Caenorhabditis elegans: one gene and its partners. The protein of the gene in region 3 purifies or fractionates together with the protein of the main gene of each other region. This does not show direct contact. Each region holds a gene or a part of one and is shown on either strand. Other genes may lie near its edges. The genes, in order: gba-4, hint-1 and Y45F10C.4.

Evidence for each region.
Region 1: the proteins of Y45F10C.4 (region 3) and gba-4 fractionate together in Caenorhabditis elegans (co-fractionation; one large-scale study listed by BioGRID). This does not show direct contact.
Region 2: the proteins of Y45F10C.4 (region 3) and hint-1 fractionate together in Caenorhabditis elegans (co-fractionation; one large-scale study listed by BioGRID). This does not show direct contact.

What each region holds. Positions count from the first base shown.
Region 1 is NC_003282.8:5,342,034-5,355,625, reverse strand, and holds gba-4 (Putative glucosylceramidase 4), read left to right. Parts: upstream 1-4,728; 5' UTR 4,729-4,787; coding exon 4,788-4,854; intron 4,855-6,204; exon of another isoform or gene 6,205-6,277; intron 6,278-6,696; exon of another isoform or gene 6,697-6,717; intron 6,718-6,904; exon of another isoform or gene 6,905-6,925; intron 6,926-7,064; exon of another isoform or gene 7,065-7,085; intron 7,086-7,330; exon of another isoform or gene 7,331-7,351; intron 7,352-7,805; exon of another isoform or gene 7,806-7,826; intron 7,827-7,938; coding exon 7,939-8,121; intron 8,122-8,409; exon of another isoform or gene 8,410-8,418; coding exon 8,419-8,568; intron 8,569-8,613; coding exon 8,614-8,920; intron 8,921-8,969; coding exon 8,970-9,210; intron 9,211-9,327; exon of another isoform or gene 9,328-9,351; intron 9,352-9,742; exon of another isoform or gene 9,743-9,763; intron 9,764-10,027; exon of another isoform or gene 10,028-10,052; intron 10,053-10,147; coding exon 10,148-10,424; intron 10,425-10,471; exon of another isoform or gene 10,472-10,492; intron 10,493-10,559; coding exon 10,560-10,792; intron 10,793-10,798; exon of another isoform or gene 10,799-10,819; intron 10,820-10,891; coding exon 10,892-10,993; and 2 more. Other genes in the region: Y4C6B.1 (WH2 domain-containing protein), read right to left, coding at 229-798, 843-947, 1,006-1,134; Y4C6B.7 (Activin_recp domain-containing protein), read left to right, coding at 2,220-2,333, 2,587-2,648, 3,330-3,381, 3,429-3,508, 3,722-3,827, 4,043-4,117; Y4C6B.2 (Amino acid transporter transmembrane domain-containing protein), read right to left, coding at 11,561-11,666, 11,900-12,041, 12,127-12,399, 12,478-12,595, 13,411-13,592. UniProt on the Caenorhabditis elegans protein: Glucosylceramidase that catalyzes the hydrolysis of glucosylceramides into free ceramides and glucose. C.elegans contains specific sphingoid bases, which are unique or different in structure compared to the sphingoid bases found in other animals.
Region 2 is NC_003279.8:7,275,446-7,284,161, reverse strand, and holds hint-1 (Histidine triad nucleotide-binding protein 1), read left to right. Parts: upstream 1-3,834; 5' UTR 3,835-3,850; coding exon 3,851-3,973; intron 3,974-4,017; coding exon 4,018-4,155; intron 4,156-4,229; coding exon 4,230-4,361; 3' UTR 4,362-4,492; downstream 4,493-8,716. Other genes in the region: F21C3.6 (DUF4200 domain-containing protein), read left to right, coding at 1-35, 134-202; pfd-6 (putative prefoldin subunit 6), read left to right, coding at 422-479, 527-597, 643-767, 906-1,032; rde-2 (SH2 domain-containing protein), read left to right, coding at 1,291-1,526, 1,570-1,720, 1,781-1,930, 1,978-2,076, 2,195-2,254, 2,301-2,702, 2,751-2,970, 3,016-3,423 and 1 more; F21C3.7 (Small integral membrane protein), read left to right, coding at 4,553-4,667, 4,838-5,037, 5,256-5,360; Putative tyrosinase-like protein tyr-3, read left to right, coding at 5,636-5,770, 5,853-5,985, 6,150-6,403, 6,450-6,526, 6,569-6,644, 6,685-6,807, 7,232-7,402, 7,447-7,640 and 3 more.
Region 3 is NC_003282.8:13,660,173-13,669,093, forward strand, and holds Y45F10C.4 (UPF0375 protein Y45F10C.4), read right to left. Parts: upstream 4,019-8,921; 5' UTR 3,993-4,018; coding exon 3,843-3,992; intron 3,523-3,842; coding exon 3,401-3,522; intron 3,357-3,400; coding exon 3,254-3,356; 3' UTR 3,226-3,253; downstream 1-3,225. Other genes in the region: UPF0375 protein Y45F10C.2, read right to left, coding at 2,034-2,115, 2,160-2,281, 2,333-2,482; fbxa-215 (F-box domain-containing protein), read right to left, coding at 5,318-5,518, 5,575-6,211, 6,256-6,339, 6,398-6,607, 6,651-6,724.

The DNA of each region.
Region 1 (13,592 bases), 8.3 Mb from region 3:
AAAACCTTTAAACTTTTTTTGTGATTTATCTGAATCCTTGCTATATTAGACCCAAAACTACTAAATGTCGAAACGAGACTTTCTGAAAATTGCTCGAAAAAAAGTTATGGCATTTTTTTAAATTCTTGGAAAAGTCTCTCTTTTTCCTAAATGTTTAAACCGCCAAAAAAAAAACCTTTTTCGGTCATTTTGGGTCTAAGACACAACTTTTTAAATAAAACTATTCACTTTTGCAATTATTCCGCCTCTTCTAGAACTCGCTCTGGATGATGCTCTTTTTGTCTCAACTCCACTCTTCTGAAGGCACATTAGCTGCTTCGAAAGCATTGCCAATTGATTTTGAATTGCCGCCATTTGATCTTCAGTTGTCAATGCAGTAACTCCAGTTCGAGTACTTGGCATACTCAATCTATCCTCATCATCATCATCAAACGTCATTGACATTGGAACATTCATTTTTCTGAATTCACAGAAAGCATCTTCATCTTCATCGAACATCGGCTTCTGCCTTTCAGGAAGACATTCCCATTTCTCTGAGCGACGTTGAATAACTCCATCTTCTAAATCATCAGTGAGCAATATTTCTTCCATGTCGTTCAGTGTGTATCTTGGCATTTTGTACGTGATATTCTGGTCGCAGAGCTCATTCAGAATCACTTTCGCATCTTTTTTATATTCTAGCATGTTTCGAGAACTTATTGATTTCGAGAAAATACGAATGAGAATTGCACGAATTTGAACGGCTCCATCACCAAAGAAATTACGCATTCGTTGCCCATTTTCGCGTAGACGATGCCGCTGAAACAATAATTCATTTGAAAGAATGTTAAGATCAAGCATACCACCACTTCCAGTTCATCCATAACGATTTGCATGAGAATTTCGATTCCAGAAGTTGTGTTTACGACGGCAAGCTCATTGTGAAGACGTTGACGTGCAATGGCCAGCTGAAAATTAAAATTGTATGTACAGTTTTTAATTTTCAGATTTATTTTAAAGACTCACATCTTGTAACGTTGTCTGATTTCCTTCTTCCTTTATCTCTTCACCTTCGAAAATAGTCTTCTTGCTCTGTGGACCCGTCACAAATATCGTTGCTCGTCGTTTTTGCTTCTTTGACGGTGTGTCTGACATTTTTCTGAAAATTTGAAGAATAAAATTGAGGAAGACATTGATTTATTATATTTAAATGAGGAAAAGACATCAAAAAAGAGAAAATTAGCTGAAATTAAGAGAGAAAAAGAAAAAGCTGAAGAAAATGGGATTTCCATTTGAAATCCCCGCGATGTGCGATGGGGCGCGATTGCACCAATCTACCGTACACCTTTTTTCAAGCATTTTTCAAGAAAACGTCTGCAAGAATAGACGTTTTGGGCTAATTTGAAAAAGAAAAAAACTAATAATAACCAAAGAAACCCACCAAACTATTTACATAGTCCAGGTGGAGTACACCACAGAGGGTGTGAGAGAGAGGCAGGTGTTCGTTGCGAGACCCACTGCTAGGGGAAGAGGGCACATAAATTTTATGATGGCCATTGAATTGACAACCGATTCGGGGTAATTTAATGCACCCTGCTGGGTACGCAATAGATATGATATTGCTTTTAAAGACATGGGAACATATTCCTGAAAAGATATCGCGATTCGCAATTTCAAGATTTCTGTGGAATGTCTTTCGGAGTTTCTTGTTATAAATATACTTTTTCAAGTAAAAAAACAAATTGGAAACTGTAGAAAGCCTTGTTTAAACTACTTCCCTCGGATTTCAGATGACGATCCAGAAGAATGAAGTAAAAAGTCAATGGCCGAGGTCTGGCTTTTTTCTAGGCCACATCAAAAATGAAGTCACGTTGAAAAATTCTAGGCGAGACCCATAAATAACGATATATTCTGTTAACCTGGAGATTGCAGAAAAGAAGCCATTTATAAAAATCCTTGTCAAAGCTAGAAAAAAATTACTGTTTCTCGATCATCTCATTATAAGGTGTGGTACAATTTCCCCAATAATTGTTTCATGAAGTTTAACCAAAGTTAGTTTTTATTTTCAATGAGTAATGTTCTTCAGAACTCTTAAATTCCACTTTTTCTTGTCAATTCTCAAAAACAAACACACAACCAACAGAATGTTCATTTATCACATCTGTTTTGTGTAACATTTTTATTTTTCGTTTTCTCGTCTTGATCTCTCCCCATAACAAACATCTCTCAGTCTCGAAACTATGACAGCAAAAATAGGTTTTCTACTAATTTTAGCTGTTATTTCTACAGTTTCTGCTCTCCGATGCTTTGAAGGAACCGTCGCATTGGATAGCAATGATCAGACTTCAAAAAAGGTATTTAAATTTTATTTACAAATATTAATATTTAAAAAATGTGTATATTTCCCATACGCGAAACTTTGTTTTTTTTTTGCGGCAGAAAATACGGTACCAGGTCTCACCGCGACAAATTTTTGTTTAATAAATGCTAATGAAGAGTACGAGTTTCAAAAAGCGGTGAAACTCAGTTTCAATTTAATTTTTAACTAATACTAGATGAAATACAAAAATTTCCAACGAATTAAAAAGTTTTAAAAAAATCTTGCAGGAGTGCGGAGGAATGTCGAATTATTGTATTCAACGTATCGATAAGAAAACTAAAGAAATGAGGTAAAAGAGCTAATGTCTATTTGTTTCATGGTCAGTCATGGCTTCTCCCTCGTTTATTTGTGTAATCCTTTTGCGGACAGTTCTCGAAGAGAGCTTGATTATTTGCTCAAATCATTCAAATCATAATAGGCGCTTCCGTCTTTTACGTAATTTTACGTCATTGTGAGGAAAAGCTCATATCTTTTGAGATTTATGATAGCTGCTGTTTCCAAAAAAGGTGTGTAAAAATTATATTTACAAAGAAAATGTAAAGCGACTAAAAGTGAAAACTCGGCTGCTCTTTTCTTTCAGGCAAAGTTGCAAAAACTTAGAATTGTGTATTCTGGTAATTTCTAGCCCATTGTCAACCTATCGACCGAAAGAATGTAATTAGTCAAACATGGTGAAATATATCTTCTAGTTGAAACTGTAAATCAAAAAGTGACATGTAAGCTCATTTTTGTGTGTAACTTTTAAAAAATCTCTCTGAGATCCAAGCTTATTAATAGTAAAACAAAATTAAAGTGAATTCTTAATTTCTAATCAGAAACAGTAAAACAGAAACAATGAAATTTTTCTTGATTTCCTTTAACTCAAATAATAAAAATTTTTCTGTTTCACATGTTCTTTAAAACTCATTCAATTTAATTGTTTAACATTACATGCTTAACATTACGCCCAAGAATAATAATAATTTTGCAGACGTGAATGCAGTTCGTGGAGCGATGAGCACAGTATGGAGGAGAAATGTCCGGTTGGTTCATTTTTTTCTGAGCATCAGACAATTTATATCAATTTTAGATGACCGGATGCCATTTCCAAACCAAAGATTCCACTTTTTGTTGCTGCCAGTTTGATGAGTGTAACGAGTGGAAGGGAGAGTAAGTTACTTTTTTTTGTGAAACTTTTTTGAAATAGGAAATACGAAAATTTTAGGTACGAAATACTTACAAGAATTTTTAAATAGATTCCAAAGAAAAAAAGAAAAAAATATATAAAGATTCATTACACATTTTTAGAAAAAAAGTTGAATCGAAAAATCTTAAAGCAGACTTCATCTATATATTGGCTATTTTTAAAACAATTTTTTTCAGCGGAACCGAGTTCAAAGCCGGAGAAACTAGCTCAAAATCGAAAGCTGTTCCAAGTGCTCCAAAACTCGGTGACGTCATCATGCCAACTGCAGCAACCCGTAAGAATGTTCGTGTGCATTGAAATTGCTTTATAGGATGAGATCAATTTTCTAATGAAATTTGAAAATCAAGTAAAACTTGTGAAACAGTAATTTTTTCAAGTGACTAAAACAATTGCTTGCTGATTTGAACCAAAATGCTGAACTATTATGGTTCAGTTGAAATTTTAGTTTTCAAATTATTTAAATAACACTAAAATTACAGCAAAATTTAAACTTTCAGAAAAGTGAAGACATCGTTCAAATTCCAACTACTGTCGCTCCAACCAGGAAGAGCAGTTTTGTCGAGCTTCCTTGATTTCTTAATAAAAAATTTATTATTTTTCTAATGGTTTAAAATTTTCCCTAACTGATTAGTTCATTTTGCATGAAATAAATGTTCAAAATAAAAAAAAAGCCTTTTAACAAAGTTTTCAAAAAATAATAAAATTTACAGAAGCATCAAAACGGTTCGTTCCAACTCGTACTTCTTCTATAATTGAAATCTCATTAAATTGTGCAAGTTTTTTTTTTATGAAACGACAGTAAAAAGCATACCATGAGAGTGTTATTACATTAATTTTTCCCACGTAATTAAATTTAAACACTGAAACGGTAAAATTTTTTGAACCTGCTAATAATATGTTAAAGTTCCAATTTCTTTATTGTTTTCAGATCACTATAGGTGACAACATGTAGCTCACTCACGCTCATACCACGAACTTTATCATACCATGATTTGTCCATTGCCCCCGTCATTATCTATATATGTCCTGCATAGTTAGCAGCCTGAAACCAATAATTTATGTGTTTTCCCTTCTTTTTTCCATAATTTCTTATCAGTTTCAATTATTTTTTGATCAGAATATTCCAACTGATTAGTCTTTATAAAAACGTGGTCAGTGTCTTCAAATATTGTTCTTATCATTTATTCATTAGTAGTCTTGGAAAGTGTCCGGTTTTAACGGAATACACTAGACTAGGCTATCATGATTTTGAATATATCCGTTTCTTTGCTAATATTTCTGGCGTTTTATGGATTTTCAAGCGATGCAAGTGAGTAGTAGAAGTGCCTGGAAGTGTTTAGAAAAGTTCTAAAAAAATATTACTGTTTCTCACTAGGGAGTGCTTTCACTATACGGTGCGATCGAGTAAAAGTAAACGTGTTATGCGATAGCTGGCATCTTAGGCTTTCAGAATCTGTAATTTGTTTCGGCGGAAGACCTCTGTGAGTCTGGAAATTTTCATCTGAAAATGTAGTACTGAAATCAGTTCATTTCCTATGGTTAACAGTGGATTTTGTCTCTGGCGCCAACAGAAGTCTCACCACAATGGTGGAAGGGCGAAATCATCGCTTCGGTGGTCGAGTGGTGAACGCGTTCGCCTCTTGAGCAGAAGTTTGTCGGTTCGGTTCCCACACATGGTTTAAATTTTGGGTTCTTTTATACAAAATTTTTAGAACGGGAAACAAATGTTTAAAACAGTTTTTTGAGGTTTTTACATTACTTTTTTGCTTTTTGATTGAACCACAATTACCCTGGAAACTTTTCAGAAATTTTTATTTTTTTCGAAAATTGCCACTTTTTTCTCCCATGAGAAAATTGGTTCCAAAAATTTTGTTTGAAATTTTTTCAAAAATGTATGAAATATTGTAGAGTGTCACGAATAACTTATTTTTCATTGTTTTCAATGACCGAATCACTGATTCTGATGCCGTATCAAGACGTTTTACCAAATCGATATTGGCAAAACATCTTGTTTTTGAGGCTCCATATCTCTGCAGAAAAAATCGCACTAAAAAGTGATCAACTAGAAACTTGTTAAACACAATGTGATCTAAAACTTTTCAGTTGAACACTTTTTTGTAAAAAATTTGGTTCCCAAGATATAGACCTTTAACTATTTAGAATATTCAAAAATAATGACGCTCAAATCAATTGGTTCCAACCTGGCAACCAAATTTTTTACAAAAAAGTGTTCAACTGAAAAGTTTTAGATCACATTGTGTTTAACAAGTTTCTAGTTGATCACTTTTAGTGCGATTTTTTTCTGCAGAGATATGGAGCCTCAAAAACAAGATGTTTTGCCAATATCGATTTGGTAAAACGTCTTGATACGGCATCAGAATCAGTGATTCGGTCATTGAAAACAATGAAAAATAAGTTATTCGTGACACTCTACAATATTTCATACATTTTTGAAAAAATTTCAAACAAAATTTTTGGAACCAATTTTCTCATGGGAGAAAAAAGTGGCAATTTTCGAAAAAAATAAAAATTTCTGAAAAGTTTCCAGGGTAATTGTGGTTCAATCAAAAAGCAAAAAAGTAATGTAAAAACCTCAAAAAACTGTTTTAAACATTTGTTTCCCGTTCTAAAAATTTTGTATAAAAAAGGCCAAAATTTAAACCATGTGTGGGAACCGAACCCACAAACTTCTGCTCAAGAGGCGAACGCGTTCACCACTCGACCACCGAAGCGATGATTTCGCCCTTCCACCATTGTGGTGAGACTTCTGTTGGCGCCAGAGACAAAATCCACTGTTAACCATAGGAAATGAACTGATTTCAGTACTACATTTTCAGATGAAAATTTCCAGACTCACAGAGGTCTTCCGCCGAAACAAATTACAGATTCTGAAAGCCTAAGATGCCAGCTATCGCATAACACGTTTACTTTTACTCGATCGCACCGTATAGTGAAAGCACTCCCTAGTCAGTTATGATATGACAAATTGTCATATCATGACTGAGAAACAGTAATACTGGAACTGAATTCAATGGAACTGAATTCTCAATAATCATTTAATAACTTCTATTTAAAAAAATTTAAAAATTCCCATTGAAAAATATTGCCGTTTCCGAGGTATAATATTTGAGTTAGTATTTGTATTACTTAATTCGTGCAATTCGAACAAATCTTTTTTTAAACAAAATGTGGAAATTGTGGAAAGTTGATACAGAAGTTTTACAAATTAAAAATACAAATTAAAACAAATATCGAGCATGAAAAATGCATTTGAAGCTACAACTTTTTAATATTTATTTTCACAAAAAAAACTCTGTTCCAACATGATCTGTTAAAATCCCACACTTTTATGATTCTGTTGCGAACAAGAAAATGTATTAGATATAACTGTCCTCAAATGCGTTTATAAAATTTCAATAAATGCGAACCAAATGTGACTAAAACGGACAAATCTGGACTTTTGCACTCAGAAATCGATTAAATTAAGACCCTAATTCTTAGTTCGGATTCGTCAGTTTTGCTACATCTAAATTGGATTCAACGATAACAATATTTTTTGAAGACTTCTAAAGATTATGTGAAACGGTATTTAAAAAAAAATTTGTCATTTCAAAAATCATTGTAGACATCAATCTTAACATAATTGCCAACATGAAAAGTTTCTACTGCTCCGAGGTAAAAAAAAGTAAAAAAAGAAAAAATTCATAACTTTTTGTTGTTATCCCAATAAAAAATTACTGTTTCTGTGTTATAATATGAGTTTTGGATTGGTATTGAATTGATAATAGTATCTTTTTTCAATATTTGAGCAATGATTTCATTACGCTTATACACATATGTATCAGATTTTTTCAAATTGTCAAACATTTGAATTATCAGAGTTTACAATTAACAAACCTTAATTAATAGATAACAGATAACAGTTATAATTTTTTTTAGGAAAATAACTCAGTTTCAATCTGCTAAATGCAAAATTTAATATTTTTCTAATCGTAACTATTTTTCTTCAAAATTAATTTTCGTATCCTTTAATCTAAATGGGCAGCAGACTGTAAAAAAATTATTTTAGAAACTTTTTTAGAAAAAATGCTTTAAAAAAAGCTTTTTCATAATTGCATATGCAAGACTAATAGAAGAAATACGGTAATTAATGTATTGTATTCATTGCTTGCAATGTGCAGGCAAAACATGGATAAAACAGTTTTAAAAAATTCCGTTTCAACAAATTTATTTATGAAATGTAAAATTTGAAATATGTATTTCGTATGGTAAAAATTTTCATAACCACAATTTACAGAACTGGAAATAGCTTTAGACATTTTCTAAACACGTAGTCCTGCACAATTTCCAAAACCATTCCAACTAACTAAACACAACTGAAGCCAATTTCCAGAGTCCCTTCCTTGCTCCGAAGTGAAGAAAGAGTATGGAATAGTTTGTCGTTGCAATGCCACGTATTGTGATACAATTGAACCACTTGGAACTGTTACTTCTGGGAAAGCAGTTGTCTATACAACATCAAGAAATGGAAAAAGAATGAACAGAAGTGAATTGAAGCATACAACTTCTTCTACAGGTACGTTAATTGTATAGGAAGTTCCATGAAGGCACAGAATTCTTGCCTGCATTCCTGTCTGCCTGCCTCCAGAATACACCGGAAGCTTATCAGTAACTTCTGGTTCGAAACTGATGCAAAATAGGCGGTAGGCAGGCTCTTAGATAGAGAGGCAGGCACCGCTCAACTAACACAAAAACCTTTATAATATTAGAATTTAGAGAATGATATTTTTTTATTTTGAAGTTGGCAAAAAATTATTCTACTGTTTCACAATTATTTTGTAACAATTGTTGATATGATACATCGTTTTTGTAGCCAAAACAAAAGTATATGTGAACACAACTCAAAGTTTTCAACCGGTAATGGGATTTGGAGCTGCATTCACTGATGCTGCTGGAATTAATATGAAGATGCTGCCACAGACAATGCAAGATCAAATTATTCAGCAATACTTTTCCGATGATGGTAAGTTATTTTCAAAAGATTAAGCTTGAAAAATAAATAATTTAGGTCTCGGGTATGTTTTTGGACGAGTTCCAATGGCTTCAACTGACTTTTCAACTCACGAGTACAGTTATGACGACGTTAAATTTGATTTTGATCTCAAAAATTTCAATTTAACAGTGGAAGATCTCCAGTATAAAATTCCATTTATCAAGAAGGCAATGACAGCTTCTGGAGGGAAATTAAAGCTATTTGCAACTCCATGGAGCTCCCCAGGATGGATGAAAACTTCTGGAAGAATGGTTGGTGCCGGAGAGCTATTGGGAGATCAGAATGGAAAATACTATCAGACATGGGCACAGTACTTTGTAAAGTAAGTTCTTATTTTCAAAGAAATAAAAAATAAAATTATAAAATGAAAGATTCTTCGAAGCCTATCACGCTCAAGGTATTGACTTTTGGTCTTTGACACCACAAAACGAGCCAACAACTGGAATTGATCCACTTTGGAAATGGCAAACACTCTTTTTCGATGCATCAATGGAACGAAATTTTATAAAGAAACTTTTGGGACCAGCACTTGCTTCATCACCAGTGACTAAGAATTTGAAGATTATGATTAATGATGATCAGAGAATTAATTTGCCACACTGGCCAAATGTAGTAAGTTATTGGTGGGATAAAACATTGAGTAATAGGTAGAAATGATTGAATGACTAAAAATTAATTAGATACTGTTTCACATTCAAAATAAATATATTAAAATTATAAACAAAACAGTAATCCAATACGAGAAACAAAACCTCTTTTATTTATTGAAAATTTTCAAAACTTTTATAGCTCTTTCCTTTGTTTATTTTTTTGTTTTCTATTAGGTACTTACCGTTTTTTAACACTATTAAGACTCCATTGTAATTAAGTATTTTCGAATTTTTTTCGAATCAAGACACTAGAACGGTTATTTTAATTTTAAAACTCGCTTTCACCTACAATTATTACTGAATTGACCGAATAGTTCAACAGTTGTGTAAATTGTTTTAGAAAAAATTAAAATCGAACGACAAAATGTGCAAAACTGATAAGAAACGTAATGCTAAAATGGATTTGTTGAAACATTGAAACATATCAGATATTCAAAAATTGTACTGTTTCACATTCAAAATAAATATATATATAGAAATTATAAACAAAACAGTCGAAACAAAAGTACTGTTTTTGGGAATCAAAATTGAGGTATTTTTGAGCTTTCCGTAGTCTTTGGTAAATTATGAAACAAAGTGTAATGAAGTATTTATTGACTAATTGTTAGAATTTGAAGATTATGATGAATGATAATCAGGAAATTATTTTGCCAAATTGGCCAAATGTGGTGAGTTGTCGTTTTGTTGAAACAGTTATGCAACAGTAGGGAAAAACATAAAATAATCAAACTTTGTGCTGTTTTACATTCAAAATAAATATAAGAAAATTATTATTGCCATCAATCTTTCTTTGGCCTTGGGAAGAGTTATCCGCAGAATTTACCTATTTGAATTTTTAACCCTTGATTAAAAATCATATCCCATTCCGACGTCCCCACTCTTTTAAAATAAAATTTTAGATTTTAACGGATCCAACTGCTGCTCAATACGTCCACGGAATTGCAATTCATTGGTATGAAGACTTCATTGACCCAGCAACCGTACTCACTGAAACTCACGAGAAGTTCCCAGACTATTTCCTTTTGGCAACTGAAGCATGTGCTGGATACTTCCCAGCAGATGGACCAAAATTGGGATCATGGTCTAGAGCTGAACAATATGCAAATGATTTGATTAAAGATATGGGAAATTGGGTTGGAGGATGGGTTGATTGGAATTATATTCTTGATTTACAAGGTTGGTTTGTGAAGTGTAGCAACACTTGCGATTTTTTAATTTAAAAACATCAAAAACCATAGTAAGAAACAGATTTAGAATTTTAAATCTTTGATATAACTAGGTTGAAACAGTTTTCTAATATTTATTTTCCAGGAGGACCAAATCTTGCCAAAAACTTTGTCGATTCAACAATAATCGTGAATGCAACTGCTCAAGAGTACTACAAACAACCAATTTGGCATGTAATGGCTCAATTCAGTAAATTTGTGAAACCGGGAGCTATTCGTGTTGGAATAAACATTATTGAGAAATCAGTTGATGTTGAGGGTCTTTCATTTTTGAATCAAGATGGTACCAAAACTGTGGTTTTATTGAATAAAAATGAGGTAATTTAATCAAAAAGAGATAATCCAACATGGAATTATTTATAGTTCTAGTTTATTAAATTTTAGAAACAGTAAAACAAATTTTTATCCAAACTTCAGGTACTCAGCTTCGACGTGGCAATCAGTGACGTCAGTGCTCCAAATGTGATCTATGATTTGACAATCCAACCGAATTCACTGATTACAATTGTTTATAAATAAATTCTGAACATTTTTGAAATTTAGTAAAGAATTATGACAGTAATTCAAATCGTGAAATTCAATGTGTAAATAATAGAGTAAAATTGAACGTTATTTCCAGAAAATTTTTGTGGGAAAATTCATGGAAGTTTAATTAACTTTCAAGGGAAGCGAGATCATTGTTGAACCATTTTGCAAACCTGCATCTCTCTCCGTTATTTTATCAATTTTAAAACTAGTGTGTCTTGTGAAGTTTACAACACCTGAAACGTGACGTCAGTCGACTGCTTGGCGCAATGGTAGCGCGTTCGACTCCAGATCGAAAGGTTGGGCGTTCGATCCGCTCAGTGGTCAAATTTTTTTGTCGGAATTATGAAACAGAGTAGGAAATTCTGCAAGAGCGAAACCATAAATTTTATTGACAATTTTCATTTTGTAGATAAAAGACGTATTAAAAACATATTCATTCAATTAAAATTTATACAAAACTATCAGAAAAGAACCCGTCAAAAACTTGAAATACCCTAACCTTGTGGTCGACCTGAAGTAACATTAAATTTAAATTTGAAGTTTTGAGGCTTCTTAATTTCATCCATGAGACACAGCTTTAGCCATTGAAGCAACGTCCAGACAAACTTCGGATCCCGTTGCAGAAATGTTACGGAACATTCCACAGCACGCGATTTTTCCGTGTCTGAAAATGGAAAAATCCGGTATTGGTAAGATATGATTAGTTAAAACTAATTGTAAGTAGAATTTTTAAATCTAGAATTTAATTATAATTTAGTAAATTTAAGCGCTGAAATAAAAAGTCTGAAATAAAAAACACAAAATTAGACAATTGGTTTTCTAATTTTTTTCTGCTGTTTCAAAACATTTTCTTATTCACAAAAACTTTAATCAAAACAATTGGCCGTCCATACTCACGTAAAAGTCAATTGTCGTTGTTCTTCCATAATTCTTGCATTCTCACTCCAAATTCTTGCATAACATGGAGCGCTGAATTCACTCTGGAGCATCGTTTGCATTGCTGAAGTGGTAGCAGCCACTCCTCCGAAAATTGCAAATACTGAAATGGAATATTAAATAAATGTTTTCCTAAATTGAAACAGAAACCAAATGCTCAAACTACCCTAAGACAAAAAAAAACTAACCAAGAATTAAGATATTTGCCAGAAGTTTGATCTTATCCGAGTTTTGAAATATCTCCTTAATCGTTAACTTTTCCTCATTATCCTTATTTTCTTTCTTTTTCTTAATTGTGGTTAGCGCCAAATTAAATACAATTGGAACTACTAAAGCCATCATTGTAATTGTTGATCCACCGACAAGATCCAATAAAACTCCAAAATTTGGAACAGATTCCGCGACAAAAACTACTGAAAGCATAACTAGAGCTCTAGCCACGATTCTTTGCCATCCAAAATCTGAAATAAAAAATAATATTTAATTTTTCAAATGTTATGTTGCAGAAAAAAGGGCAAAAAATGGCAAATAAACCGTACCATGTGACATATTCAAAATTTCCTCAAATTCCTGGTTCAATGGATTGAAAGTGATTGTGAGAGCCAATGAAACATGAAGACTGATCAAAATATTCACAATTGTTTGGATATTTATATTCTGTAAAATTCTATTGAAACGAGGAGAACAATTTCAAAAAAAATTCACTGCTTCAAGATTTCAATTTACATTTTTTGTTAGAAAAAACTGTTGACTGAATCCGTATCAAAAACACAAAATATGACTATTCATAATAACTCACTGAAACTGTGGTTATTTTTTTATTGTATCAGTAGTTAAAAAAAACTATTAATTGAATGATTATATTTTAAAAATGGTTATCATTTCTAATTTTCTGACATTGTTCTATCTAAGAATTAAAAAAAACTACGACAAGTAACTAACACAACTGATCAGAATATTCACCATTTTGTCACCATAATATAGGTTTAAACTAATTTGAGCAATCTAATTGTAAAACTAGCCAGAAAAAAAACATGATTACTCTTAATAATCAAATGAATTAGTGAATAATGGTATTTTTTTTAATCTATACTTTTTTACTGTTTCAAAATAAACATTTATATAGAAACCTCTTTTTTTAAATTTAGTCTCAAGTTGCATTTAGGATTTTCTAATTTTCAACCAGAATGTTCAAAAAAAATTCAAGCCTATTTTGGCAGTAGGTAGGTTGCCTCGAAGACTGGAAGGTTTTTTTTTCCGACATTACGAGCGTATTTGTTACATCGAATGGAAGAAAAATATATACATTGATTCGTTGAAACATTATTTTTTCAAAAAATTTCCTTCAGTTTCGCCGAGTATTTATATTCGAGATTACCCACAATTGAAAGTAATTCTTTCGCGTTTCAATTTTTCTGAAAATTCTAGTCAAAATTTAAGACAAAAAACTTTAGAAAACGAAAATTGCTTACCTGAATTGATGGAATAATAGAGTCGGTCAAAGAGCTTCCATATACAAAATATCCACTCATTGAAACAGGAAGATAGAAAATAAAAATAATAATGAATGCAATAATAATTGATCGAGAAAAGTGATGAGGCTTCTTCATATCATGTTGAATTGTTGGAAATGCACAATGTCCTCCATATGAGA
Region 2 (8,716 bases), on a different chromosome or scaffold from region 3:
CAAAACTAGAGTCAGAATTGAAAAAGACAAAACAGGTAAGAATATATTTTTATGTTTATAGAACCTAGGGAAATACCCTGAACTTACAAGAAACTTATTTAATTATTGTATATAATTAAGCTAAAACTTTCAGATACGCGAAGAATATTATCAAGATTCCATGCAAAGTTGGTTTTCACGATTCTGGAAATATCTATATTGAAAATATTTCGTATTGTCACTATTGAATGAAATTTTAGCAAAAGCATAACAAAATTGAAGTTAACATATACAATCCAGTTTTGAACTTCCGCCAAAAACGGAAAATGCGTCAAGAAAGCTTGCTGGCGCTTTGAAGGATGGCGCAGAACCCGTTTTTCTTCTAGATTTTTAAACACAATTTTGTTTTCTTTCACTTCTTTTCCCACTAAAAACGATCAAAATGGCTGATATGGCTAAATTCGAAGAAGAAGTTAACAAGCTCAGAACTCTTGAAAAAGGTTAGTAACTGTTAATTTAAACAATCTTTTCAATCGTTTAATTATAGACCGCGAAAAGTACTTCACGAGTCGCCAAGAGATGGAAATGAGATTAACTGAGAGTAAAAATGTGAAAGCGGTAAGAAAAAGTTTGAGATTCAGTTTTCATGTTATCTTCATTCAGGAGCTTGATCTGATGGAATCCGACTCGAAAGTCTACAAACTCATCGGAGCGGTTCTTGTTCGTCAAGATTTGGAGGAGGCTCGATCGACTGTGGAGAAACGGCTTGAGTTTATCGACTCTGAGACGTGAGTTGTAACGTTTATCATGTTTCTTTAGTATTACTTCTTGCACGCTATTGATTTACACGAAACAAATAAAAATAACAAATAAATTTTACCTTTAAACGTTTTAAAATGCAACAAAACTTTAATTACAATTTTCAGCAAACGAGTGGAAGCCAGCATCTCAGACATTTCGAAGAAGTGTACGGAACAGCGAGACAAGGTGATGAATATGCAAAAAAGCTTCCAGATGATGGCTCAAGCAGCAGCCCAAGCACAGAAGAAATAATCCAGTTTGTTCTATGAATCTCATATTTTTTGCTCTTAATTTGTTATTTTTTGCCTATTCTTCATCTCTGGTGTTTCTCCGAAACGAGAAGATCACATTAATTTTTCTATGAAAAAAATAAGTTTCTTGTTTCGGGGAACCATTTACAATAAATGCTTTCAAACTGTTTTATACCATTTGTGCTCACGTCTATGTTAAAAGTCATTGCTAATTACATCAGTTCTGATTTATAACTATATTCATTTTCTTGCTATTCAGATGCATAATGGGTACCATTCTTATTTTCCTCCAAATCACTATTATGCTCAAAGTCAGCCATCATCGTCGTATAATCCCCAACCACAAATTCAACAACCGCAAACCCAAATATATGGATTGGTAGTTGGTTACAATAAATATGGAAACAGAAATTATCTTTTCTATACCAAAAATATCGATGGATTTGTCGAAATCAGTGGAAATATTCAGAGCCTGCAGATAGGACGCTGGCTAAAGTTAGACATTATTTTATCTGATTTTATTAACTAGCAATTTTAGATTAACTGTTTGTCAGAACTTCGTGGGACAATACGTATTGGATTCCTCAAATAGTTGTGGATATGAAAACTGGGACGTTTTGCCGAATCACAGAAATTCATCGGCGAGATTCTTTCCGAAGTATGAGGCTAACGATGAAGGAGAAATTTTGGTAATCTCAAATGGAAAAAGTTTTAATAAATAAAGAGTACGGATTTTTATAATTTTTCAGATAACAGCTCGATTTGATGTAATAGTAGATCGGAAAAATAATTTGTATGATTTCACCAGTTACGATATTTCCTATGATCATATTATTGACGACTTTAGTCTGATCAAATCATCATGTCAACACTATGATGGACGCAGTTTTATTGTTGAAGTAAGTTATCGATTTTAAAAAAAACTATTAAAATAAAAATATTGCAGGCTCAAGCATCTCTGGCAGGTTGGGTCGCATTGAGTGTGCATGAAGATCCACAAAAGCTACACACCTGTGATGCTGTAAGCCGAAATGGATATCAATCAGTATGTGGCAAAAGTGTCCTGGTTCATTTTGAATTGTTCACATTTTGGTTTTTGCTTATCAAAATTTCCCAGAACATATAAGCCACAACCTCCTGCAGTTTACATAATATAATTTCAGCTCCCGAATCCAGTCGTTGATTCTGATGTACAGTATCTTCATGATACAAGACTGTTGGATGTATGTGACTTATAGTTCAGAATTTTTCAAGTAATCACATTTTTAGATTATGACTGGTAATGGATATGTTCAAACACCCGAAACCGACGTACAAGATCAACAATCAAGTCAACATCAAGAAGACGTGCATTCTCAAATGAACTCGCAGACATCTGATTCGTACAATTCCTCTAGAGTTGTGTCAGAGAATCGGGAAATACCTCCGGAAACTTTTCGAAGCCAAAGTATCGAATTGAATCAAGTTGATTCATCCTTGTCCCAGACTACAATCTCAAGTCGAGCAGCACCAGTTATTGATTCAAATCAGTTATCAGATGAAGATGAAATTGATGATGAAGATACATACGGAACACGTGGAACATCTAATATTCCGATGAGACCGTTTATTAAAGATTTAGCTCCAACGATGCTTCAACTGCTTCGTCAAGATAAAACTGATTCCGAAAAAGTACGTAATGCCAGAACAATAATATTAATCTTCATCACCATATTTCAGCCTCAATCTGCTTTATGCACCGTTGTGCAAAAAATCGATGGCTTTGCAATTTTGTACACAGCCAAAAGAGACGTTATAAACGTTTTGCTTCAAGAAAGATCGTGTGAAGGATTGGAAAGATCCCCTCAACTCGGAGACGTGGCATTCTTCGATATCTTGCCTCGTAGAATTGAAACAAAAGATAGGCTCATTTTCAAGATTCCATATACACATATTGCAGGTATTTTACAATTTACCAATGTTTTAAAAAAACTTTAATTTTAAGTGAAAAAGAAACCAGACACGCCAGATTCTCTCCTTAAAATTGATTGCTTTAAAAACTCGGTCAGATGCTTCGGAGGAGTGCTTGAAATGAAAGTAAAAATCGCACTTTCAAAACCTGAACTAGTAGTGGAGCAATATCATGACAACACAGAGATGAACTCGGATCATCATTTTTATTATTTGAAAGCAACAAATGGAGTACTTGTCACAATTCCAAAAGAACGTCTTCTGAATCATTTGAATTCGAAATTATCAGCAGATTTTGACCTAATCGCGTGGGTTGTTCATCGAAAACCAATTGGAAATGTTTCATTACATATTGGAAAGGGAGGTGAAGCTTATCAACAGTTCACAAATGGAGATATTCGAGAGCTTCCGCCATTGTCTTCTAATCAATATTTCATGAATGGTAAGTAAGAGGGAAACCGAGTTTTCGAAGAAACCTAGGAGAATTCTTGGTTTTCTATTCAAATTATTATTTCAGTTCGAAAGTAAAAACTGCACAATCGACAAATCACGTTATGGGTTCAAATTGTATTCTGGTACATTAATTCTTGTTCTTGTGTTAACTTTTTTGATTATTTTTTGTATCATTTTACTGATTAAAGCATTTATTTTCACATGTTTATTGTTTATTTCTCGTTGTCTAGCGTTTTCATCGTTTGAAATATATTGCATATTGGTTATTTTTTGCCCATTTTTCAATATTTTAGTATGGCTTCCTCTTTGGTTAAAACCGCTTTGCGTCTTGCTTACCGTAATCCAGTTAGGTCAGGGTTACTGTAGGCAAGGTGTCTTTATCGATTCCACCATTTTTCAGGTTTACAAAGAGAAACATGTCGGAAGTAGATAAAGCCCACTTGGCGGCAATTAACAAAGATGTTCAAGCCAACGACACTCTTTTCGGAAAAATAATTCGAAAAGAGATTCCAGCGAAAATCATTTTTGAAGATGATGAGGTATGTAAGATCAGGCAAACGATCACATAAAATATTTATTTAAGGCTCTCGCATTCCATGATGTCTCTCCACAAGCTCCAATTCATTTTCTTGTGATCCCTAAGCGTCGCATTGATATGCTCGAGAATGCCGTTGATTCGGATGCTGCGCTTATTGGAAAGCTTATGGTTACTGCTTCAAAGGTAATTATAAATGAGTAAAAACGAATTTGAAAATCCAGAAATCTCCATTATATTACTCTTAAATAAAATTCCAGGTTGCAAAGCAGCTCGGCATGGCCAATGGATACCGTGTTGTTGTGAACAATGGAAAAGATGGAGCTCAATCAGTTTTCCATCTTCATCTCCACGTTTTGGGAGGACGTCAGCTCCAATGGCCACCTGGATAAATATTGCATTGCTTACATTCTGCCACTAATTCATTATCAGTCTTGTAAACAAATCAGTAAAAAATTATATTTATATTTATTTCCAAAACTATTTTAAACCGTGGCATCATGTTTTTTGAAATAAATGCATTCTTTTTCTTCTATCTGACGTGTTCAATTATTGAAACAATTAATCATTTCTGGTATAAAATATGACGCTGTACGATAAAGTGAAATCAATTCTGACGATTCCTGACAAAAATAGTAACGATTCGATCGTCAACGCAACTGACTTGTACTTGGAGTGGGAGAAAGGAGACGGGCAGTGTAAGTGTCACGTGTTTCAATGGCAAAGAAAGAGTTTTTAAATGTCATGAAATATGAATGTCGCCGGGCCCGGTTAGCTCAGCCGGTAGAGCACCAGACTCTTAATCTGGTTGTCGCGGGTTCGAGCCCCGCATTGGGCTGATCTTTTTGTATAGTTCAATTTTTTTCAGATCTTCTTCCACTCTTATTGATTTTCGTTATCTTCTTTTGCATAACTTGCGGTGTGTTTCAAGCTTTGTTGAGCCTTGTGGTTCTCTGTATCAGAAGCCTTTGCGGATTTGATGAGGAAGATGAAAACTTCAATATCAATGGAAACCACTTTGCTAGAAATTCGACACCTTCTGAACATCACGAGGAAATTGGAAATTTGGTACGGTTGTTTTAAAAGGTTTTTTGATTATTATATTTAGAAAATAACAATATCAGAAAATCACAATAACGGCCATTCAGATTTTATTCAAAGCGTGTCCTTTCCATGGTCATAAACATGATGGAAGATCCAAATTAAAAGTAATTAAGTGATTGAAAATGATTATGGGACCTTTTGAATGAAATTTTGTTTCTCAACCTAATGTAAGTCTATTTTAGATGGGAACTGAAGCTGCATCCATATCTGAACTTCCTCAATATGGAACACCACGAACCAGAAAATCGAATACTTCTTCATCTCAGAACAGATGCCTTTCAGTTTGATTCGTTGAGTGAATTGGATTCTCAAACTTGATAACTCGTACCTTGATATCTCAATAAAAAGAAAATGAAAACTATGATAAATTCATATTCCCAAATTTCTACCATCCACTTGTTATTATTAATCTTTGTGTTTTCTTCTGTTATTTTTGTTAAAACATCTTCCTTAAAAACAGGTCGAGATAGAAAGTGTACTGTTCCAGTGTCACGACAATCAACAAAATTGCAAGAGTATAAGAGAACAATTTACAAAAATTGGATTGGAAAATATAACAAAAATGATCCGGTATATTATTCTGCTAGTATATTTTCTAATTTTTGAAGTAAACTCTCAGTTAGACTGCTCAAAAGCTCCAACTCCTGCTATTCGAATAATGTGTAATCAGATTCAAAGATGGGATCAAAAAGCAAGGGTAAGTGGTTTAAGGATTACATTATTTGAAGAAATGTACTGAAATTATTCTTAAACTTTTGATGCATAATCTTAAAGTTCAGGCAACTCCATCATTATCCGGTGACGTGAAAACACCTGGAATTGCTGGTAAAGCAATGGCTGCTGAATTTTCTCCAATTGCAAGTAATGTGTTTCAATGTATGGATATCGCTTGTCTTTGTGTATTTTTCAGAGGTAAGTAACATAATCTGTCATAATTTTGACAATTATAAAATAGCCTCAAAGCTGATCTATAAAAGATAAATGTAATATAGAATGTAGAATCAATTTGTGAGCTTTCATCGTTTATACTTTTGGTGATCAAGGAAGTATTCCCAATTTTTCGTTAGTTTTTTCAGGAACCGGTGGAAATAATTGCGTGGTTCAAGGTCGTCCACTTGGAAAAGTCGTAAGAAAAGAATACCGTATGCTTTCTGATGATGAACGACAACGACTTCATCAAGCATTCCGAACTCTGAAACAGAATGGAGAATACGATCGACTGGCAAGAGTTCATGCTCAATATTCTGAAAGTGGAGCTGCTCATTCTGGACCAGCATTCCTTCCGTGGCATAGAGAATTTGTAAAAAGAATGGAGTTCCTGATTCGACAGGCTTGTTATCTCTCGTATTTAAAATTGAAAAATAAATATTGTTTAGGTTGACCCATCACTTCATCTTCCATATTGGGATTCATCATTAGATCAAAATCTTCCAGATTCAAAAGATTCAATCTTGTAATTATTATTTCAATTTACAAATTTGATTTCAATATTCAGATGGACGAATGAATTTATGGGAGATGCCAATGGAGAAGTTAACAATGGACCATTCAGAAGCTGGAAAACTGTAGAGGTAAGGAAACACTTTATTTCAATTCTTATAATTTTTATAGAACAAACCAGCAATCACAAGAGCAGTCGGGGCTCAGGGAAAAGGATATTCAGAGGATGAAATCAACACAATGCTAGGACAAACAGATATTGCTCAAGTTCTTGCTTTCTCTGCTCCACAGAGGGTAATCATCACATTTTCTCCTAAACACTTCAAAAATTATTCTAAAAATGGAGCGAACATGGCTTTTGTTATAAATTATAGATAATAGTCTGCAAATATCGAATATAACTTTCAAAAAGTTTTAAAATTTAATAATGTTCCAGAAATGTCATTAGAATTAACCAAAGTTTTCCAATCGGCTGAATTATTTGCAATTTATTTCACAAACTGGTTGAAAAGGCATATTGAAAAACAAAAAATGCGATGAACTTTGAAAATAATTACTTTGTGCACATTTCAAAACAAAATTAGCCATTGAAAAAATTTTCGCAACTATGAAGAGATTTTTGAAACTAAAAACCAATTTTTTTTACATATCATTAAAAAACTCACGGAGGCTAGAACTTCTGAAATGTTTTTAAGTCTCCTAAAATTCAAATTTATAGGGTTGTCCTTATCAACCAAACTTTAACGTCCCTGAATACACTCATGGAAATCCTCATATATATGTTGGAGGTGATATGTTAGAGACATCAACAGCTGCAAATGATCCAATATTCTGGATGCATCATTCTTTTGTTGATCTTCTTTGGGAAATGTATAGACAATCAAAACAGGTAAAGTCATCAACATTAGCAATCATTTATTTATTGATTTTAAGACAAGAGCAACACGAGAAACAGCGTATCCAGCTGATAATCGACAATGCAGTAGTGAGCATCATTTTAGAGCAGCTTTCATGCGCCCATTTACACCAATGAGAAATGCAGATGGACTCAGTAATATGTACACTGATAATTTATATTCTTATGCTCCAAGACCGTCATGTAATGCAGGACCTACATGTGGATCACCGTATGTTTTTCAAAAATTTGACCCAAAACTATCTGGTGAGCATTATACAAATCGGTATTATTATAGATATCTATTCTGTGACAAATCACACGGAGCTCCTCGTTGTGCAGTTCGAATGAAGCCTGAGGGAAACTGCGCTAGTTTTAAGAATGGAGAAGATGCATGCTATCAAGGAAGTTGCCAAAGTGGAAAATGTGTTGCAGGATCACAAAATGTTACTCCACCACCAACAATTCAACCCACAAAGCCAGTGGTTACAGTTGAGGTATTTAGTGAAACATGCTTAAAGATTAGATTGAAATTTTTTCAGACATCTTGTTTTAATGAAAATGAATGTTGTGGTCCATGGTCAGCAAAAGGAGAATGTCAAAAAAATCCAGTTTATATGAATGTTTGGTGTAAAGCATCTTGTAGGCAATGCACACCAAATTATAATATTAATGAAGGTACGTTATTTCAGGATTATTTTAATTTAACTTGATTTCGTGTTTTTTTTCAAATGGTCTCCACCTTTTTGAGACCTCCTTAAAATTTCGGCTAACTTTAGCTATAATTTAAAATTTTGGCAACTTATCCGTGTTCAAGCGACTTTAATGTAGTCTCTATTCGAACAATACCCGCCGTTTAATTTGTGTTACATTGATTTAAAAAATGTGTTTTCAACAATAGAATTTTTGAATTTCAAACTATTTTGGATATTTTAAAACAAAAAATCCATGCATGATAACCCAAGCTTACTCAGAGACTTACCCAGGGAATTATATAAAAATATTTTTTACTTAATTTTTTTCAGAGTGTTCTGATCGTCACACCAACTGCGCAATGTGGTCTCGGTCTGGGGAATGTAACAAAAATCCGCTTTGGATGTCAGAAAATTGTCGAAGCTCTTGTCAAAAATGCGGCCGATCAAGAGCAGCAACATGTGGAGGAGGTGGTGGAGCTGATAGTATAAGCAATCGTAAGCCATTTACTTTGCTTGAAATATAATGTTAATCTGGAAGGAATTTCAGCAACAACGATGCCGCCTGCAACAAATAATGGACAACAGAACACTCCTTGTGATTCACCGATGTGCT
Region 3 (8,921 bases):
TGAAGACTCAAATTGTATCCTTGGAGGGGATGCATAAACAAAATATATATGAACTTCAAAATTTGCGTGTATTTGAACAACAATTAATGGTGTGGGGTGAAGAAAAGAAAAAATTGAAAGAACAAATCGAACGGCTAGAAAAATTGCTTGCCAAAAAGAATCCGGACAGGGAAAGTTTTGAGCAGCACACCAATCATCTGCACGTATGAATGAGCAGATGACAAACGAGTTTCAGGAATTTGTAACTTGTTTGCATCAGTGTAGCAATGACGTTTGTATATATTCAACTATTTCAAAGTATTGTGAAACAGTAAAATATTTTAAAGATTGGTATGTTCTAATTTTGCGACACATGTTCCCAGGAGGCATCGAGAAAGGGGACATCGCGTTCAAAGACGGCATTGGGAAGAATTTTTGTAGGTTTCAAGTAAACATTATGAAATTGTCTATTTAATAAAAAAATATTACTCTAATATTCTTCTGATGACTTGGTGACGATTTTTGAGATCATAACCCTTATGAACTTTTTTGGACATTTTTTTTGTGGACTGATTATAAAGAACTGTTTAGTAATTGTAAAAAAATGCAAAATTTCCGATGTTATGGGCATTCTTGAGATTTTTTATTTCTAGATATAACTAGTACATTGTGGTCAACTTATGACGTTTATACCTCTACAAAAAAGTCAACAATAAACTTGTTGCTCATTATATTGCTAACAACTTTTAAGTTGGCAACTTCTCTTATATCACATACGGACAGAGTTAAAAGCTGTAGAAAGTATAACGTCTTTGTGTTCTTTTGAAAATTTCATTGATTTTTTGTTAGAGCATGAAAACTGAACACCCAAAATTGTGTGAAAACTATTTTCTGCAATATCTACAACTTTTTTCAAAAACTTTTTTTTTGGTAATTGAAGTGTTTTATATTGCAATTTTCTAATATTGATTTTAATTACAAGAAAAAACATAGGACTTGAAAAAATACATTTATTTTTAATTTTAGGACAACAAATTGAACTCTGCAAGATTAAACTGGAACTCGGTGTTGTGACTTGGGTCCTGTGGTGCCACTGCATCCCAACTTGGCAGATTTCTAGGTGATTGCCAACATGAGAAAAGGATTATCTCTGAAAATTGCAGTTTGAGTGTTTAAATGATGGAGGAAGAACACTATTCTAGGAGAAAATAGATGTAGCGAAAATTGAGCAACTTCAGAAAGCTCTAGAACCGGAAAGAGAAACGCATCAACATCAGTAGTAGTATTCTTATATGGTAGATGAAACAGCAACTTCTATAGGTATACATGCGATGATCAAAATTCAGTAAACTAATTATTTTATTGGAATTGCGATGTTTAAATATTCGAAGCCGAACCGGCTCTACGATGTAATATTTCGAAAACTGCAATACAATGATAATGTGTTCACCGAATCTTTGAATCCGAAACTTGCTGCTGACGGAAATTGGTACTGCCGAAGATTTGACAAAATATCTCACTGAAAGTAAAGAAGAAATGACAGTTTTTTTTTCAATCAACAAACAGGAGGCGTCACATTGGAATTGTGTAGAGGATTAATTACGCAATAGAAGACAAGTACATTATGAGCTGATCCATATGAAATATTTTTGCAAACAGCTAGGAAGATGTCGACAATTTGAAAACAAGGTTAATTGCAAAACTATTTGTGTTCGAATTTGCAGTCTAATTCTTTTCTATTTATAGAAACAAAAGTTTTGGAAAATAATTGAAAGAACAGATCGAATAAAACGTAATGAAACAATATTGAAACAGTAAAATATTTTGAGTATGAGTTTATTTAAATTTTGCAACAAACCGAAAAATGTCGTGTTCATTGTCAAGATTGTATTTGTTCTATTATATTATTTTTGGCAAGAAATAAACTAGATTTTGCTGCAAATATTCACTGGAAACTCCAAAATGCTTTTCTTTCTTTTATTATCAGTTTGAAAACGTTGAAAGCTCACAGATCAGAAGTCCAACAAAAATATATATTTCATTAATCTCAAGTTCTACTGATTTTCAATGTAAGTGATATATTCATTTCCAAAAGCAGCCGCACAGTCAACTGGTACATATTGATTTGAGTAGCATCTGGAATTTATTTAATTTCTCTGAAAACTTCGGAAACCACTTACGATGACTGTTTGCATTGAGCTACTTCATTTTGTGAATTTTCATTTGGCTGGCTCGCCACTTTTTTCTCGTAAATGGAAAAAGTACATGTTGAGCCAATTTTCAGTTCAAGAGTTCCAGAATACTAAAATTAAAGTTTTTTTCAGACTTTTCCAAGAAATATACGAAAATTTACCGTGCACTCGGTGCAATATACTCCATTTAAAAAGAACATGGTGCAACTTTTAGCTTTTGTGACACAAGTTGTTTGGAGTTGGGATGGATATCCAGACACCAAAGCAATTGTAACAGAGAGGAGAAGGACAGTTGAGACGAAGGAATTCATGATAACAAGTTGATTCAGAAATGAATTCAGGTTGATACTTTTATAATTTTAACAACAAAAGAAACAAATTTCTGCATTTTGCAACGAAAAATAGAACAAATGAAAACTAGAGGAATGACGAATTTTTAAAGTTTGTGTTTAAAAAAATAAAATTGGAAAATGCAACCACTTCTGAACATTCTTTTCTCCCTGTTTTTTTGTCATTAAAACGACTGTTTCATTGAAATCTTAAAAGCATCGTGTTTTTACTTATGGCATTATTGGATTTAGATCTGGAGAGAACATTGTTTTGAAATAAACTGACAACTTGGATGCTAAAATCATCTGAGAAAATTATAAATTTTCGAAAAAAAAAATTTGAAAGTCAAAAGTTGGTAGTTTTTGATAAATGTTAGCTTACACAAAATTCATGTGACATTTGTGACATTTGTGACATTTGGGAAAATTTCAAATTTCCAAAAAAAAACAATGAAAGTAACAAGTTGCTAATTTTTGAAAATAACGTTCGTTAGGTTACACAGAATTTATCGCAAAATTTTAAGTTTTTTCTTCCAAAAAAGTTTCAGATGATTAGCAAAATATATACTTCTAGATTTGCACAATGAGCTCTTGACATGTGATTTTTTCAAGGAAAATGTATGATTATTTGAAAAATTGCAAGAAATCGCCTTATTATTTTGTGTTTCTTTTGATGTTTTCATAATGTTTCCACTTTCTTACTTTAATTTTGAATGAAGAACATAATGAAATTATCAAAACGATTTATTTGTTTCAAATGATCATTTTTGATTTTTCTTCTTTCGCAATTTCAGCAAGTTTTGCAGCGGAAAACGCTACATTGCAGTCAGCAGGAGTCTTCTCGGTTTGGTCACATCTGAAAGTGTTCCTTTAATGTCAGAATTATTGAAACGAACGTACGGTGTCATTGTACATTGTTCAACTCTATTGAGAGGATCATCATTAGCTGGGAATACAGTAATCTTCAAGTATTCTGACGCAGTGCAGTTTGTATCACTTGTGACTTTCCACAAGGCGGTTGTCTGGTAAATGAATAATTCAAAAATAAAGCAAGAATTTGGATTACGCAGATGTCAAGTTTTTCATTTATTTTCAAAGTTATAATGCAAAAGTCTGCCCATGTACAAGAGTTTGCCTCCTCGTGTAATATTGAAAAAAGCAAATATGCGTACAAAAAATTGGAATTTTTTTCAATTTTAGCACTACACCGCTGTGCAAGTTTCCATTTTCAATCGTTTTTCAACAAAAAAGGAAGCAATTTGTAAACTTGAATGAAATTCCTAGTTTTTAAGGAATGATAAAAGGCTCTTAGAGTTTCATTTTATAAGGTTTTAGAAGCCACCTTGCAATTTCCGGTTTTCGCATGATTATTGAGCTTTGACAAATTGCATTCGCAGACTGCCTTCCATTCCTCGCTAATAGAACTGAAACTTCCAGAAATGATAGCCACGACGAATGAGAGTAAAAGGACAGTTGAGGGAAGGAAATTCATGATTATCAATTGATTTGGTTGATGATCAAGTGATTTCAGCTTGTCACTTTTATACTTTTAACAACAATAGACTCCATTTTCTTATTTTTCTCACAATATATTGTGGGAAACGGCGGAACAATTCTAGAGTTTATGACTAATCGAAAAAAAAGCGGAACAATTTTAAATTGAATTTGGGAATTTGCAAAAACGGAATTTTTTTCTGAATTCAGTTATTCTTTGACAGTTCTTTTTTTTGTGATATTGTACTCCACACTCGCTTTCATTTTGAACCTGAACAAAATTTTATTGAAAGAATTTAGAGTAAAAAGAGTAAAACATGCCGCTCAACAGCATCCCAATGTTTCCAATAATTCTTAGAAGATGCATCCCAAGCCGTAGAAAATGCTGATTTTGCTTGAAGCGTATGGAAAGTGATCCAATAACAATTCATAATAATTATTAGTTGAGTGAAACGGTAGATTTTTTTTTGAAAAGGACATTTCAAAATTATAAATACCTATCCCCTCCAATGCAACAATCGATGAAGCAGGCTCACTATTTTTTAGAGTTTGTTGCAAAATTGCCACCAAATTTATTTCTGTCAATTGAAACCAATCCAATGGAGCTTAAAGAATACATGTTTCCTCAACAGATCAATTTGAGATTAAGTCAGAATTTTTGAAAATACTTTTCCTAGCTGAGTGAAACAGTAAATTTTTTCGAGAGCAGGGCTATACAAGACAAGAGCCGAATTTTGAAATGTACTGCCATTTTTGGGGTTTTTATAAAAAACTTAAAATTCGACAATTTTAGTTTTTTTTGTTTCTGCATATATTTTCAGGTTTTTAGAGACAAAAATATTTCAGAGAAGGTCATTGGAGCTGATGTTTAGTTCAAATTAAATGACAAAACAGTCACTCGAGAATTCTTCAGTGTTTTTGCTAGCTGGGTGAAACAGTAAATTTTTCGGGGAGCAGGACTGTATAACCCAAGAGGCAATAAACCCGACTTCTTCCGTTCATCAGAAATGATGAATCAATATTTTTTATTTCCAATTTATCTCCATTTTCTGTATAATGTTAAATATGAGCAGGTCTGCTAAAGTGTATGACAATGGAACAATTTAAAACTGAATTTGAAAATTTGCAAGAACCGAAACTTTTTTGTGAATTCAGTTATTCTTTGACAGTTTTTTTTTCGTGATAATGTGCTTTATTTTTAACCTGAACAAAGGTTTATTGCAAGAAAAATCTCAGAGTAAAAAGAGTAAAACAAGGGGTAAGTGTGCAAATCAAATATCAGTACATACATTTTCGAGAAGAAGGCAATTTTTGTTTGATTATCTACATGTTTAATTTTTTGATTACAAATTGTCGGTGATTGTACTCAATGTGGAAGAGGCGCTTCTTGTTATTATAATTCATGGATCCATAATTCCAGAATACATTTTCAGCATTTCGATTGAAGAATTTAATGACTGTCCGATGGTGAAGATCTTGAGTTATTATGTGGGCATATTCGAAATGTTCAGAATTGGTGAGAACCTGGAAAATAAATTAAATTAAATTTAAAACTTACGAAAATTAAAATGGAAACTTACATCGCGAATTTTTCTGGCCATTCTTTCAGTGAAATCTGATTTTATCGCAATTTCGAACCGTCGGAAATGCAGCAAATCCTCGATATCCAGTAAAACTGGAAATTCCGTGCAAATCTTCAATACTTTTGCCTTCTTGTATTGTTCCATTTCGACGAGTACGTTGGTCCACGGGCCACCGGAACCCGGTAACACCTGAATTTCCTCGAGAAATCCCGCTTTGAAATGGCAAAGAACCGAAGATGTATCGGCAAAACTGAATCCACTGACGACAATTTTCTTCGCATAAAGCTCAATTTCCACAGAATCGAAAAATTTCCTGAGAACCATTGACAATTCCTGATCGTTTGATCGTTCTGCTCTCACGTGGAACTCTTTGCTGTGATTATTTGAATTTCTCATCAATTGAATGGCTTCCGTCAGAGCATATTCAACGTGATTCTTGTTTTTAACATATTTATCACGTTTTCCATATAAAACATTGCAATCGGCACCACAATGAATATATTCAATTCCCGGATAACCGTCCAATTGAAGATACGATGTTCGATGTCCAATTCGTACTATAATCCTTTGGAAACAAAACGGCTCAGAATCGATGAGTGTGCGCAGGTTTTTAGACACTTTTCGAAGCGTTAGTCTGAAAATTTTCATTTTAAATTTGAATAAAACTGGCTAACAAACCTCTCCATTGGCATAGAGAAGCTGGAAATCGTATTAATCACTTCGATTGGCAATTCATCAAGCTTTATTGTGTTTGGATTCCAACTGAAAATCAATTTTTTAAAAATGAAATTATTGATTTCTTTGAAGTCTCTGAAAATACCTAATTGCATCGCTGAAATCAGCATCTCCTCTTTTAAATTGATAGAACCAGAACTCGTATTCTCGATATTCCATAACATCGGATCCAACGGCTCGGCAAAATTGATTATAAGCGTCTCGTATTGAAGTTCCGAGGAGACAATTGAACAGGATACATGCGCGAAGTGCTGTTCGATTGTTTCTCATCAGATCCTTTTTCTCGATCATTTTCCTGGAAAATCATGATTTTTAGAATCTAATTTTCAATTACTCACCGTTTCAACGAACGATATTGTTCTACTGTGGAATTGCTATCCGCCATGCTGGAAGAGTGAGGAGCTTCGCTCATTTTAAGATTTTATCTGTAAAAATATAATTTTATTAATGGAAAACGCGAGGAAAATTTGGAAGAAGTGAATGTGAACATGGAAAACAAAGAATTCTCAACGAAAATTGAATATTTAGCGCTAAATGTTTTTTATGTTTGTTTGTTTGGTAGGTCAATTTTTTGAACAAATTTCAAGTCTGAAAAATCCATTTTTTGGGATTTTTCCATATAATTACTTAAAACTAGTATTTTTATATTTTTCTTATACAAAAAAATAAATTGACGAACAAAAAACGAAGAGAAACGAGTAAACTTTAAAAAAAACGATCTGAAAATCCCAAAATGGAGTCTCTGTGCATTTGCGCGTCAAATGTGTCAAGTACGCAACCACTTTTGGCTACAGTACTCGAAGTTTTAAAATCACCAATTAAATTGATTAATCAATTTTAATCAATTTTTCAATCGATCGCATAACTTTTAAAGTGTGCTGTTGTTCTGAAAAAGTGCATCTCAGAGTTAAATTGTTAGCGTTAAAATATTCATTTCCATGGTTTCCATTTTGAATTGAGCTTTTGGATCAAACCACTACCGAAATTACATCCCATGAAGATCACAAGGACACACCTGTTCAAATGTTTCATACATGCGCGGTACAAAGAATTTGATGAGAAAACATACCCCGATAAATCAACAATTAGGCCTCGTCGCGATTATGAAAGCTTGGGAAGCCAAATGCTCGTATTAAAAATCCTATATATAAAACCTATATATAAAAAAAATAATTCCGTTTGTGCCGTAGTTTGTAGTCTGTGACGTCATAGCTTACAAAGGCAAGGCGTTTTCGGCTGTTGGAGGGATATTAGTTTGGGGTTAGTAGTGGGATATGGCCGGGGTACTGTAGTAGTACTGTAGAGGTACTGTAGGAGTACTGTAGGATTACTGTAGTTTAGGAAAAATTGAGCTTTTGTCTTTTGAAGAGATATAGGTTTGGGGTTAGTAGTGGGATATGGTCGGGGTGCTGTAGTAGTACTGGAGAGGTACTGTAGGAGTACTGTAGGATTATTGTAGTTTGGGAAAAATTGACTATCCGTCTTTGGAAGGGAAATTGGAAACTTCGGGAAAATTTTGGAATGTTCCAGAACCTTCTGGAAAATTCTGGAAAGCTCTAGAACCTTTTGAAAAATTCGAGAAAATTCTGGAATGTTCTAGAACCTTCTGGAAAGTTCGAGAAAATTCTGGAATGTTCTAGAACCTTCTGGAAAATTCGAAAAAATTCTGGAATGTTCTAGAAGCCCCTGAAAAATTCGAGAAAATTCTGGAATGTTCTAGAAGCTTCTAAAAAATTCGAGAAAATTCTGGAATGTTCTAGAACCTTCTGGAATATTCGAGAAAATTCTGGAATGTTCTAGAACCTTCTGGAATATTCGAGAAAATTCTGGAATGTTCTAGAACCTTCTGGAATATTCGAGAAAATTCTGGAATGTTCTAGAACCTTCTGGAAAATTCGAAAAAAAATTCTTGAATTTTCTAGAACCTTCTGAAAAATTCGTGAAAATTCTGGAATTGTTGTGGTGAGACCTTGCTGAGACCCATTGTGGTGAGACCTGAGACCCATTGTGGTGAGACCCTTAAAAATTTGGGCGGGAAATTCAAAATTTATGAGAACATTGTTTTGAGGGAAATTCAAGTTTTCTGTGAAACTATTTTTGTTTTAGTACCTTCTGGAAGTTTCAAGAACTGAAAAATTGGGGAAAATTCTGGAATGTTCTAGAACCCCTGTAGGACTTTTTCTTTGTTTTGCTACAGCAATGTTCAAAGAACTTAGTAATTAATTCTTCAGACTTCTCCAGTTAAAGAAAGTTTTTAAGTAAATAAAAAAAAAGTATAGCTCTGTAGAATTTTTTCGAAAGCCTGATAATGACAATGTGTTGGAAGAAAACCCAGAAAATTCTAATTGTCTCTGTGAGTTTTCTGAATCGTATACCATGGAAAGTGAAAATGCGATTTCATCGATAAAGTGCCAACTTTATTTTGATGAGGCATTTGTGAATGATTAAAAAGGCATCTATGTGTTTTACATTTTAAACTCCGCCAGTCGTTGGCCGCGCCGGAGGCGCGGTCATCGGCTGGTGTATATAATAAAGTTTAAAACAATTTTTTTGCAAAGAAAAACAAAACCCAAAAAGTATATAGAATGCATAAAATCGTGATAAATTAT